2 linked regions of the Xenopus tropicalis genome follow. The protein of the gene in region 1 purifies or fractionates together with the protein of each later gene. This does not show direct contact. Links are inferred from orthologs where the notes say so. Each region holds a gene or a part of one and is shown in the gene's direction. Other genes may lie near its edges.

Region 1 (5,384 bases):
CAGGAAGTATGAGGTGCCTGTAAGGGGCATATAAGAATGTCCTTATGCATCCATTTCTGGCATGGTTGGGGTAATATGGTATAATAGCTACTATGAATATGCCTTGGTTTGGGCTTTGTTTCTGGAGTCCTAATTATCTCAATTGAATTTCATACAGATTTCCGGAAGCGGTTTCTCTCTCTCCTTTCCTATCAGTTCAGTACTTTTGCACCATCACTGGCACTGAACATTCTGCAGAACAGGAACATTAAGAAGGAATCCGAAAACCGTGAGTTTCTCTCCCCCCCCCCCCCCCCCCAAGTTGCCTGGGATTTATATATTTGTTTTTACTTTTCTCACCCACTTTTTTCTCTTGCACCCTAGTGATCTCTCGCTCTGAACTAGAGGCTGGTTTAACCCCCTACGACCTGAAGCGATTGGAGATGTACTCTCGTAACATGGTGGATTATCATCTTATCATGGATCTGATCCCTTCTCTGGCTCGGATGTACTTTCTGCAGCAACTCGGAGGCCTCAGCTTGTCCGCAGCTCAATCTGTTAGTCATATATTATTCCACTAATATAGCTGATTGTTATACTGCTGTCATACTACACGTATATGTCAGTTGGGTCCTTTATGTTTTACTGCTGACCATCCCACCTACAAGCCCCAAAGAGATACTTATTAAACTTATTACCTACTTGTGCCCACCCTGTTGTCGATGAGAGCGCTATTCTAAGCACTTTTGCAATTTACATTCATCATTTATAACATGACGTAGTCGAGGACGTTGTGGAGGAAGTTTTCAGGAGTAAGAACGAGTACTAAGCTGATGTTCTTGTTAGGAAACGTATTCGAAACCTCAGAACTTTTCTCATGTCTTTCCTAACCAGAAGAACATCCCTCTTTCTTTCTCCTGACAACTTCTCAACAATACAGTGTCCTCGACTACTTCATGTTCAGAAAGTGACCAGCAGGTGGCGCTGTTGTAACAAAATGCATTCATGTTAACAGTACTTTTCATTAAAAGAATAATAAATAATGAATGTTAATTGAAAAAGTGCTTTGAATAGCACTCTCATCAATTTTACATCAATTTATTTATAATGTTTACTTATTTTAATGGAGCAGAGGAATTAACTGGTGGGGGCAAGACCTAGTGAGACCATCTAGGTATAACGGGACTTATTACGCAATTCCTAGGGGCACGAGGTCTGTATCGTATTAGATGTGGGAGTGGCCTAACTACCATATTCTTTCCTCCAACAAGGCTCTGCTTCTGGGCATCGGCTTGCAGCATAAAAGTGTCGATCAGTTGGAGAAAGAGATTGAGCTCCCCAGCAGTCAGCTGATGGGACTTTTCAACCGCATCATTCGTAAAATAGTCCAGGTAGGTGCCTTTTCACAAGTGGCTTTATTCCTTCAATTTCCTATGCATCTCCTGATCCTGTTTCTCTCTCCAGCTGTTTAACAGAATCCAGGAGAGGGCAGTGGAAGAGGAAATGGCTACCACTAAGGAGGTGGTTATGGAACCAACACTGAAGTCTCTTCAGGAGGATTTGGTGAGGCGAGATCCCTGTTAACTGAGCATTCTGATACATTTCTGCATTAAGCACCTAGTCTCATTTGCTTTTTACCATGTCTTTTGACCAGGAAGAGGCCGGTAAGGAGTTTCAAGAGAAACACAAGCAGGAAGTGGAGAAGCTAAAAGGGATAAATCTCTCTGAGTAAGTAACCCTAATCCAATATCCAACTTGGCCTCAAAAGGAAGGGCAACGGAGACCAGTGAAATTATGTATCTGTCCAGGTTTTCTTTTACTTTGCCAATTGCCCCGGTAAAAGGTAACATTTCATTGGTTCACATGGGTTTCTGGATGGGGCAAACTTTCCCAACATCTTTACACTGCCTCCATATACAGTATATACGTTGCTGTTAAAATGTAGAATGTGTGAACCCCTCAATGGTGCTTTCTACTTGTGGAACAAACCATACAGGTTTACACAAACACTTAAAACATGGCAAACACTATGTACCAGTGAAAGAACAGTTTGCATGAAGTCAAGTTTATATATGCGTTTATCATGTGACACCTTCAGACAGATCAGGAAGAGGGAGCATTCTATACAGGGATGCACCGAATCCAATATTTTGGGATCTGCCTGAACCCCGAATTCTTTTTGAAAGATTCGGCTGTATACCAAACTGATACCGAATCCTAATTTGTATATGCAAATTAGGCCACAGGGAGTTAAATAAAATTGAACGCTTTTGTTTGTGACAAGTCACATGATTTTAAGGATTCGGATTTAGTTCGGCCTGGCACGTAGATTCAGATTCAGTATATCCCTGATTTTCTACCATTTTTGCATGTAAGGGGTTCCTCCTATCCTGATGCATTAGGCCATTAAATGGAGAATATTCTCTGTTTGCAGATATGTGATCCGAGGGGATGATGAGGAATGGAATGAAGTCCTGAAGAAAACGGGTCAAAATGCATCAGTTATCAGCATGAAGAGGTGAGTCCAGTGGATGGCACAGGGTTCATCGGCAGCTGAATCCTCCAGCACCACTTATCATTGGCTTTAATTGAAACTGCTTGGCACCCCTGGTGATTGGTGGTTTATGAGCATTTGCGACCTTAAAACCAGCGGTGGCAGGCAGTTTCCCCTATAAGCAAAGACATGGTGACACAGACAGATTCAGGGCACTTCTCCACCTGCAGAGGAAATACCTTTAGTGCCATCAGATTTTAATGGTTTTTGGTCTTTTTTATCAGCAGACCATAATGTTTTATTGAAAAATGGGCAATATTAACTAATGGCTTAAAAATAGTGCTTGTGCCTAAAGCTGCACATACATGGGCAGATATTGGCTTTCAGCTCACCCACTTGACCAAATAGGCAGCCTGTTGGCTCATGTATGGACCTTAAACAGTCATTTTATCGACTGATTTGGCCTTTTTAAAGATATTGACTGGATAGGCTTGAAATCCCTAAGGACATTGTGTGTTAATCAGACTGGTATTTCAAGCCCCCTATATGGATCTGATTATTATCTATTATTATTATATTAATAACCCCCTGTTGTATTAATCTATTCTACTGTACAGCACTTTCTAAATAATGATATACATACATACATACATACATACATAAATTGGCCCAAGGTCATGTGATGGGCCAAATCCGAAAACGTTCTGCTTGTTTTGTGTCCTGGCCAAACAATCTGATCTTGGTGTGTTTGGCTGCTTTAATAAAGGTTAGTTGCAGTGCCTACCTATCTGTTATCATCTCTCCTTGTTGCCGTACAGTTCTGTACATAGCCCGGCATTGACTGCTTGGCTTGTTGTTATAGAACAAGTTAGATTATTGGAAAAAGCCATCTACTGGTTAGAATAAGTATTACAGTTAAAGGGTAACTATCACTGTCAAGCAAAATAAACTTAAATGCTTAAGCATTTATTATACAGCTTTTGATATAGTTAAAGTGAGCTTTAAGGTATATTTTCTCCCCAGGGATAGAAAGCATTTGAAAGGGTAACTCTTTGAATATAAAAAGGGAAGATATATTATAATCTGTTAAACACCTGAAGGGATTAATGTTCTAACCTGCCGATAGATATATTCCCAATTTTCGGATTTTGATCAGGAAGGAGCCATATGTTGGCCAATAAGCTGATAGCTCAGTGTCTAGGGGTTGAGTTGGCAGCTTTTAATGGCCTGTGCATGGCCACCTGGAAGCTGAGTAAGAACTATGAGTAAGCTTTCAAATAATGAAACAATATATGCAAGTATAGTGCCCAGTATTCCCCTCTTGCTTGCCATGCCAGAATGTTTGCTCTGCTCTTTACATCAAGTGCACCCTAATGTTCATCTCCTCCCTTGCAGTGACAAGAAGAGAAAGCTGGAGCAGCCAGAAAAGGAGGGATTCAAACAGAAGAAGAATTTAAAAAAGAATAAGGAGAAAAAGCAGAAATTTGCTAAATAGTTATTTTAATGCATATCGTGATTGCGGGAGGATCCGCTGAACCCAGTGTATTTATATTTTCAAGGATATTGTGGGAGGAAACTTGCCCCAAGGGAGGTGTTAATCTCCCTCAATACTTTGTGATTAGTTTGCTGTCTGTGTGCTGGACAGGCTGGCAGGGATGTGCCTACGGATATGAGTTGGACTCGTTGCATGGTGACCTTTGTATATTTTTAAACTGTACATAAAGCACCGTATGTGTAAATATACACACGTTTCTACATCAGTATGTGCTTTCTTTATGTGAATCCAAATACAACTGTAGCCTTAGGGCTGTGTATGTAGCTCAGTTCTTTTTTTCCATAACTGAGCCCTTAATCTGTGCAAGGATGGAGAGCAATGGTTCCCAAACTGTCGGACTCACCCAGGGAGGCCAGTAAGTGTAAGGGGTTAATGTGTTTGCTCTCCTAGATAGAAAGCCCAGATGGAAGATCAGTTGGGATAAGGTTCGGGGTGAACCCTTATTTGCTGCCTGATTATTCTTGGAATTATGACTGGAAGGCAACTACACCACTATGTTTCCCATCTATGTAACCTTGTTTTCTAAATCACAGCCATCTTTGTTTCACTGCTCAGTGTTCTTTGGCTTTGGATCTTGCTCTTTGGGAATGGGTCAAATACTACAGTTATGCGGTATGTGCCAGATGGCATTAATCCAACTGGTTGGAATACTAGAGAAGTATGGCCCTAACCTGTCCCATAATAATGTCCAGTGGTGCCCAGTTAGACCAAAGTTCTGATGGCACTCATTAAAAGGCACTTCTCAGGTGGTTTTGGTATAGGGAATATATTAAATTAGGGCTATAGATGTGGCATTTTGGTGACCATGGCACACTCCGCTTTAAAAAGGGATTGTTCACCTTTAAGTTAACTTTTAGTATGTTATAGAATGGCTAATTCTAAGCAACTTTTCAGTTGGTCCTCATTTTTTCTTTTTTATAGTTTTCCATTTATTTGCTGCCTTCTTCTCCCTCATTCCAACGTTCAGATGGGGGTCACTGACCCCCTATTGCTCAGCAAGCCTGCAACTTTATTGTTACTGTTTCTTTTTATAACTTACCTTTCTATTCAGGCACTCTCCTGATCATATTCCAGTCTCTTAGTAAAATCAATGCCTGATTGCTATGGTAAGAGCTGCTACATAAAAAGCTAAATAATAAAAAAAAAATTACACTTGGACCCTAGCAACCAAATAACAGCAGAAACGCCAAACTGGAGAGCGCCTGAACTGAAAGCGAAATAACCGAAAAACTACAAATAATGACAAATGAAGGCTAAATGCAAATTGTCAGAATATCGCTGTATATATGATGCTAAAAGTTAACTCAAAGGTGGATAACCCCTTTAATGGTCGGACAGCTGGCAATGTGACCCATA
Region 2 (6,179 bases), on another chromosome or scaffold:
AGGGTCTACTGATCAGTTTGATGCCCAATATGTATAGATATACCAAAGCAGGTGGCATGTACGGACCCCAAATGAAAATAGTGCATATGAATTTTCTAACCTGTCAATTTGCCTTCTGTGAACAAAGCCCCGACTGCTTATTATGAGCTGTAAGACCCCCTAACAGTACAAAGACTTACCATAAACCATATATTTTTGGAAAGTACATATTCTGATGAATCCACAATGGGTAATTCTGTCTTTCTACTCCAAACTAGCAAACTGCAAAGCTACGCTAAAAAAAACAACACAAAACAAAATACAATTTGGTAATTCAATGAAATAAAAAAATTAGTGATCAAACTGCGTGGTTAGGGGTCTGAATAGTTGATCCAATAGCCACACTGTGAAATCAACAGTATTTAGGGAGAAAACGAGAGGCAAAATGATAAAATAAAGAACTAAATAAAATTTAAAAAGTATGTTTGTGTATGCATGTGTGTACGGCTCTAAAAAGTGTGTAAATGTGTGTATATGTGAGTGTGTAAATATCTGCAAGAGTGTACAAAAGAAAAAAAAAAGCCAGAAAAGAAAAAAAAAAAAAAGAGAACTTTAGTAAAATGTGTAAGTGTATGTATGTGTGTGTAAATGTGTAAAGAAAGGGCACTTACCATTTCTGCATTGAGGGTACCAGAATTGCAGAGCCTACACAGCAGGAAGTGAGTGGGCGTTTGCTAGATGTCAGGTCCTGTGACAATCAGGTGAGCCAAGGGGGTTGTGATCCCAACCGCTGCTTGGTGGCAAAAACTGCTAGTGCAGTGTGGAAGCCCTTTAACGCGAAGCATGTAAGCACTTTGTGCTTGGCATTTTTCTGCCAGCGTGTAGTACCTACGTGCTTGGCAGGTAAAGGGTTAAAGGAGACATATTGGATAAATGGAAAAAACGCTAATTTTGTAGGCAATTATGAATAATATACGGTGCTGGTTTCACTTTGTTCTAAACATTAATCCTATCTGTAAAAATGGCCCCTTTATTGAGCTTCCCTATAGATCGTATCACTTCTCCATCCAGTATGAAATGAAGAGTGGGCGTGTCCTAATGGTCCCTGCCAGAAGCACAGTAGGAGGGGGAGAGCCAATCACAGCCCTGCACTCACACAAGCACTGACAGGCTTCAGTTCCCTATCAGGTCAGCCTAGCTGCTGATTGGTTCCTATCCTACAATTCAGTGTACGGAGGGCCTCCGGCTCCCCAGCTCATCCAGAGAATTCAGCCAGCAGGAAGTGGAACAGATGGGCGGGGCTAGTGGGGTTTTGGTGGAATTTCTCAATAAATCAGTCAGAAACACAACTTTTTAAAGCACAGCCCTTCTATATCTAGAGGAGTATCATTCACTGGCACATTCATCATTTTTATAGGATATGTCTCCTTTAAAACATTGTACCCACAATGAAACACATACCTTGGGGGCACACACAGGCTGACCCAACCTATCCCCCATTCCTGACATACCCCCAAAAGACAGAAACATATATAAGGGTGGCACATACAGCCTCACCTTCCCACAGGTATACAACTATGGACACAAACAACACTGCAAGGCATACACATACCTAATAACGCCTTGCTTACACATGTCCAAACCCCTCATCCATAAACTGACACCTCATTGCTGCGTCCCCTTATTTGAAAGGACCGGAGACAGAGTTTCTGAGGTATTTTTTTAATAAAGCATTGTGCAGGACAGGGCAATTATTGGAGCAGAGTAGAACAGATATTTTACTTAAAAAAATTATGTTACTGTTGCTTTAAGGGCACACGCCTTAGAGAGGCCAGCAAGTCTGTAATAGATCCGCAGCCACCACTGAACCGAAAGCGCCTCAGCAAGAACTAACTAAACTCCTGCATGTAATCCTGCCCCAAGAAAAAAATAATGCTACCCAGCGCAACGCAATACACTACTGAGTGACCTATTCCTACAGCCATTTGAAGAAGGCGCCGAATGTCACGTGTTGGAGACGGTCACATGTTCGTGACGTCACCGGCGGACCCTTAGGAACCAGCTGCGGCCATGCTCTCGCAGTAACACGGAGATAACGTGCGGGCTGCGTGTAGAAGGTAGTGTGTGATTCTAATAATTGCCTACTGTTTGCTAAATAATAGAACGCTGCTTAAGCAATGTGTCGGCCTAGGGTAGATTTGTGGCTGTGAATGAGAAGACTGTGTGTGGGACTTGTGCCCCTGAAATGTCGCACTGTGTAACCAATGAATAGGTTAAACACATTGGTCCCTATAATCTGTGTGTGTGTGGCGCCTATTTCTGCCTCACAACTGATGACAGATATATAGGGAGTACTGCCCCTCTAGGAATATTATTTAATGTTGCGTGGGAGAACAGTGGCAAAGTTTACCCAGCAATAGTTAATCCAGCAGCAAGCAATCTCATGTCCACTTCCATTATTCCTATACATCTGTATATTCTAGATATGGATTGGTAGTCAAACACTAGGCAACTTGGTGGTAGTGGATCACCTTGTTAAAGGGGCCATTTTTACAGATCTCTGGTAGGCGAAACAGTTTTATTATATGTGCCCTTTAATCTACATTGCAACTAGGAATCTTTGTAAATTTGAATACATACATACATACCTTCACAACAAGGCACCTGTTGTGAGGTTCTACCTCCAATTCCCTTTATGGTGAATAGGTTGGACATGAATATTGCACAGCAACTTTGTGCAAATTCATATAAACATTGCATTAAAAATAATACCGTGAAAGTAATGAATGCACAATCATTTTCATTTTATTGCACATTTTACTTGATGTTAGGTTGATTGGAATATAACCTTTTCTTGATTTCTTTGCCTAGAGACAGATACCAGGAATACACATCTAGGTGAAGGCTGTAACTGTTGTTAGCACCAGGAACTTTTTTATTATTCCACACCAATCATGAGCACAGATGGGCAAAAGGGCAAGAAAAGATATAAGTCTCAATTCTGCGGCAATGCCAAGAGGCAGAAGCGGCGCCATGAGCTGGAGGTTGGAATGCAAGGGATCCTTATCACCTGTAACATGAATGAGCGGAAATGTGTAGCAGAAGCCTACAGCCTACTGAATGAATATGGGGATCAGATGTATGGTCCTGAGAAGGTACAGCCTTCAATATTTCTAATGAAATCTGTTTGCAGCTAAAAAAAATGTTATTTGTAGGAATATCTTCAATCCCTGCTGGATGTTCTTTTGCTAAAGAGCAACAGAGCCACATTTCAATGCTGGAATGCCATAAATGTACAACCATAATAACTTTACAAAGTGTGTGTGTATATATATATATATATATATATATATATATATATATGCAATATGGCAACTGGCACTCACATAAAAATGGGATTTGGAATGCCTGGGTGCAGTGTCAAACAAAAATATACCGGTACATGTAGAAATATGAGCCGCACTCACAGGACTTAGTGTGAGAAAAAAAAAACAAATTTATTGAAGCATAAAGCTAATAGCTTTATGCTTCAATAAATTTGTTTTTTTTTTCTCACACTAAGTCCTGTGAGTGCGGCTCATATTTCTACATGTGTGTATGTATATATATATATATATATATATAAGTATTTATAAAGCACTAAAATATTTTGCAGCTCTGTATGATAGAGTAAGCACATTATTCGTACAGAATACGAATAACTTATCGCAACTGTATCTTGTATTTATTGTTATACTTTGTATTTATCTATTATTATCTTAACCCCCTTTAATGCATTAATGTATTCTACTGTACAGCGCTGCATACATAAGTAGCGCTTTATAAATAAAGATATACATACATACATAGTGACTGACACAGGAGGTAAGGAGGGCCCTTCTTATTAGAACAATACTATTTGGAGCACACCAGTCCCCCAACGGCAATCTGAATATTCTGTAGTGTACTCATTACTGGGGAATGTTAGAGCTTATGTGTAATACATGTTGTACCACCATTCTCCATTCGCTGTTGACGTTATGCCAGTATGGATGCTGGTATTTTTAGTACAACAGCAGCTGAAAAAATGCTAGTTCAAGAGTCACAGAACTCATTACTCAGTTGTCAGACAAGTTAGATAGATTCAGTGTCAGTGGAAATACAAGGTTATAGTCAAAAAGAAAAAAAAAATAGCCTGTAAAGACGTTATCCACCAAATAGGAGAACAAATTTTGTCTTTGTATGTGTTCAGTTTAAAGGACAAGGAATGCCTGCACCACTTGGTGGTGCAAATTTGTTAGGTACCCACCATTACTTACGTTTTACCCAGTGCTCCTGTTGTTTAGCAACACTGACCAGGGATAGTTATCTCCAGTGTGGGCACTGCTATGGTTTCCAGGCATCCCCTGCACCACTTAATTTTTTTCTTAAGAAAAGTTATGTAGTACACATGTGCCAGGTCTGAAAGTCTAAGTAGGACAGGGCATGCCTGGGAAGCTGGTGGCTGCCTACCGTATACATGTTACTAGCTGATGCACTGACCAAACAGGACACCATACCCTTCAATATGTGTTAAAACAATTCTCTTCTGCATAGCTAAGTGAGAAAGACGATGGGCTATCAGAAAGTGAGGAAGAGGATGATGATGCAGAAGCAGCTCTAAAGAAAGAAGTCGATCAGATTCGCACTTCAACAGAAAAAAACCTGCGTAGATTTCAGTCTGTGGAAAGTGGAGCAAACAATGTTATTTTTATTAGAACACTGAATGTGGGTAAGCTTGTTTTTGAAAGAGTTGCTAATTATTTGTCATGAAATATTAGAGAGGTTATATTGCACCTCCCACCCTTTGTCTCCAGGAAAAGGAAAATTAAAAGTTTTTTTTTCTTTTTTCACAGGTGATGTAGACAAGCCAATATTTTTGCTGCATATAAGAATATGAATTCTTTTTGCAGAGTTGCGCAGTGGGGTTACCACTTTTGGCCGCATCATCACCACCTTTGGCCGCATCACATCTAGTTTAAGGATTGCTCTAGTAATCGCTGACTAGGAGCATGCCTGCTGGAAGCCAGGTACAGATTGGCTATACAGGCACAATTGCCAGAGAGCCTCTAACTGGATGTTATGTGGGCAAATTTGGCCTTTAAATCAAATTCCTAGGACTCTTGAAATCTAAAACATTTCTGCATTTTTCCCCTTTAATGTCAGTGTGTAAGTATAACTTTGCTGATTGATTTCTCGGTTGCTGTTTCAGAGCCTGAGAAGCTGGTGCATCATATTTTGAAAGACGTGCACACAACCAAGAAGAAGAAGACCAGGGTCATCCTCCGCATGCTGCCCGTTTCTGGTACATGCAAGGCTTTTCTTGAGGACTTGAAGAAATACGCGGAGACATTTTTTGCACCCTGGTTTAAATCTCCCAACAAGGGAACCTTTCAGATTGCATATAAAGCACGGAACAACAACCATATGAATAGAGATGAAGTGATAAAGGAACTAGCAGGTATAACTACATAAGGGTGCAAGGGCTGTTTCATTTCCACTCGCCTCACTTTGTTGAATATTTTAGCATGTATTTTCTTGTAGAGTCTTATATATATATTTTTTTTACTTTAATTTTGTTTTTAGGGATTGTCGCAAGCCAGAACCCAGAAAACAAGGTGGATTTAAGTAACCCAGAGTATACTGTCATAGTTGAAATCATAAAGAATGTCTGCTGCTTTAGTGTTGTGAAGGACTATACTGTGTTTAGGAAGTACAATCTACAGGAGGTGATAAAGAGTAGTAAGGAGGAAAAACCCCAACAGCCCACAAAGGAGGACAAAGAAGAGAATCTGAAAGAAACCCAAGGCACTCAAAATACTGCACACAGCTAGAACTTTGATAGGGCAGTGAATTTTCAATACACTCACTTTTATGTTTTACGGTGTTTGAGCTACAGTACACTTGCCTTTAAGGGTGATGGCACAGAGAAGGTTTAGTCACCCACAGTAAATCCTGCAGTTTGGCAGTGAGTACATTTGACTGCAATACAAAAGGTATATTCAGTAGTTTTGTTATCTGCATTGTAGGAGATTTAGTGCAGGCAGCAAAACATCCCTTGTGCCATCACTCTTACAGGAAACTGCTGTTCTTGTTTATCATAAGCACAACACATATGATGCAAATGTGTAATGTCTGCATTAAAGCCCACCCCACCTATCTCGGCAAAGATTGATGTGTAC

Evidence for each region. Proteins that work in one complex are often made in the same cells at the same time.
Region 2: the proteins of nat10 (region 1) and thumpd1 purify together in Homo sapiens (co-immunoprecipitation; 3 studies listed by BioGRID and IntAct, counting the BioPlex papers as one, with this or other methods). This does not show direct contact. The link is inferred for Xenopus tropicalis from reciprocal best matches to the Homo sapiens genes NAT10 and THUMPD1.

The regions. Positions count from the first base shown.
Region 1 is NC_030680.2:15,208,714-15,214,097, reverse strand, and holds the end of nat10 (RNA cytidine acetyltransferase), read left to right. Parts: intron 1-157; coding exon 158-268; intron 269-363; coding exon 364-536; intron 537-1,250; coding exon 1,251-1,370; intron 1,371-1,443; coding exon 1,444-1,542; intron 1,543-1,633; coding exon 1,634-1,707; intron 1,708-2,413; coding exon 2,414-2,497; intron 2,498-3,868; coding exon 3,869-3,968; 3' UTR 3,969-4,233; downstream 4,234-5,384. UniProt on the Homo sapiens protein: RNA cytidine acetyltransferase that catalyzes the formation of N(4)-acetylcytidine (ac4C) modification on mRNAs, 18S rRNA and tRNAs.
Region 2 is NC_030685.2:34,389,988-34,396,166, reverse strand, and holds the start of thumpd1 (THUMP domain-containing protein 1), read left to right. Parts: upstream 1-2,052; 5' UTR 2,053-2,096; intron 2,097-2,850; 5' UTR 2,851-2,933; coding exon 2,934-3,134; intron 3,135-4,554; coding exon 4,555-4,729; intron 4,730-5,209; coding exon 5,210-5,458; intron 5,459-5,583; coding exon 5,584-5,831; 3' UTR 5,832-6,179. UniProt on the Homo sapiens protein: Functions as a tRNA-binding adapter to mediate NAT10-dependent tRNA acetylation modifying cytidine to N4-acetylcytidine (ac4C).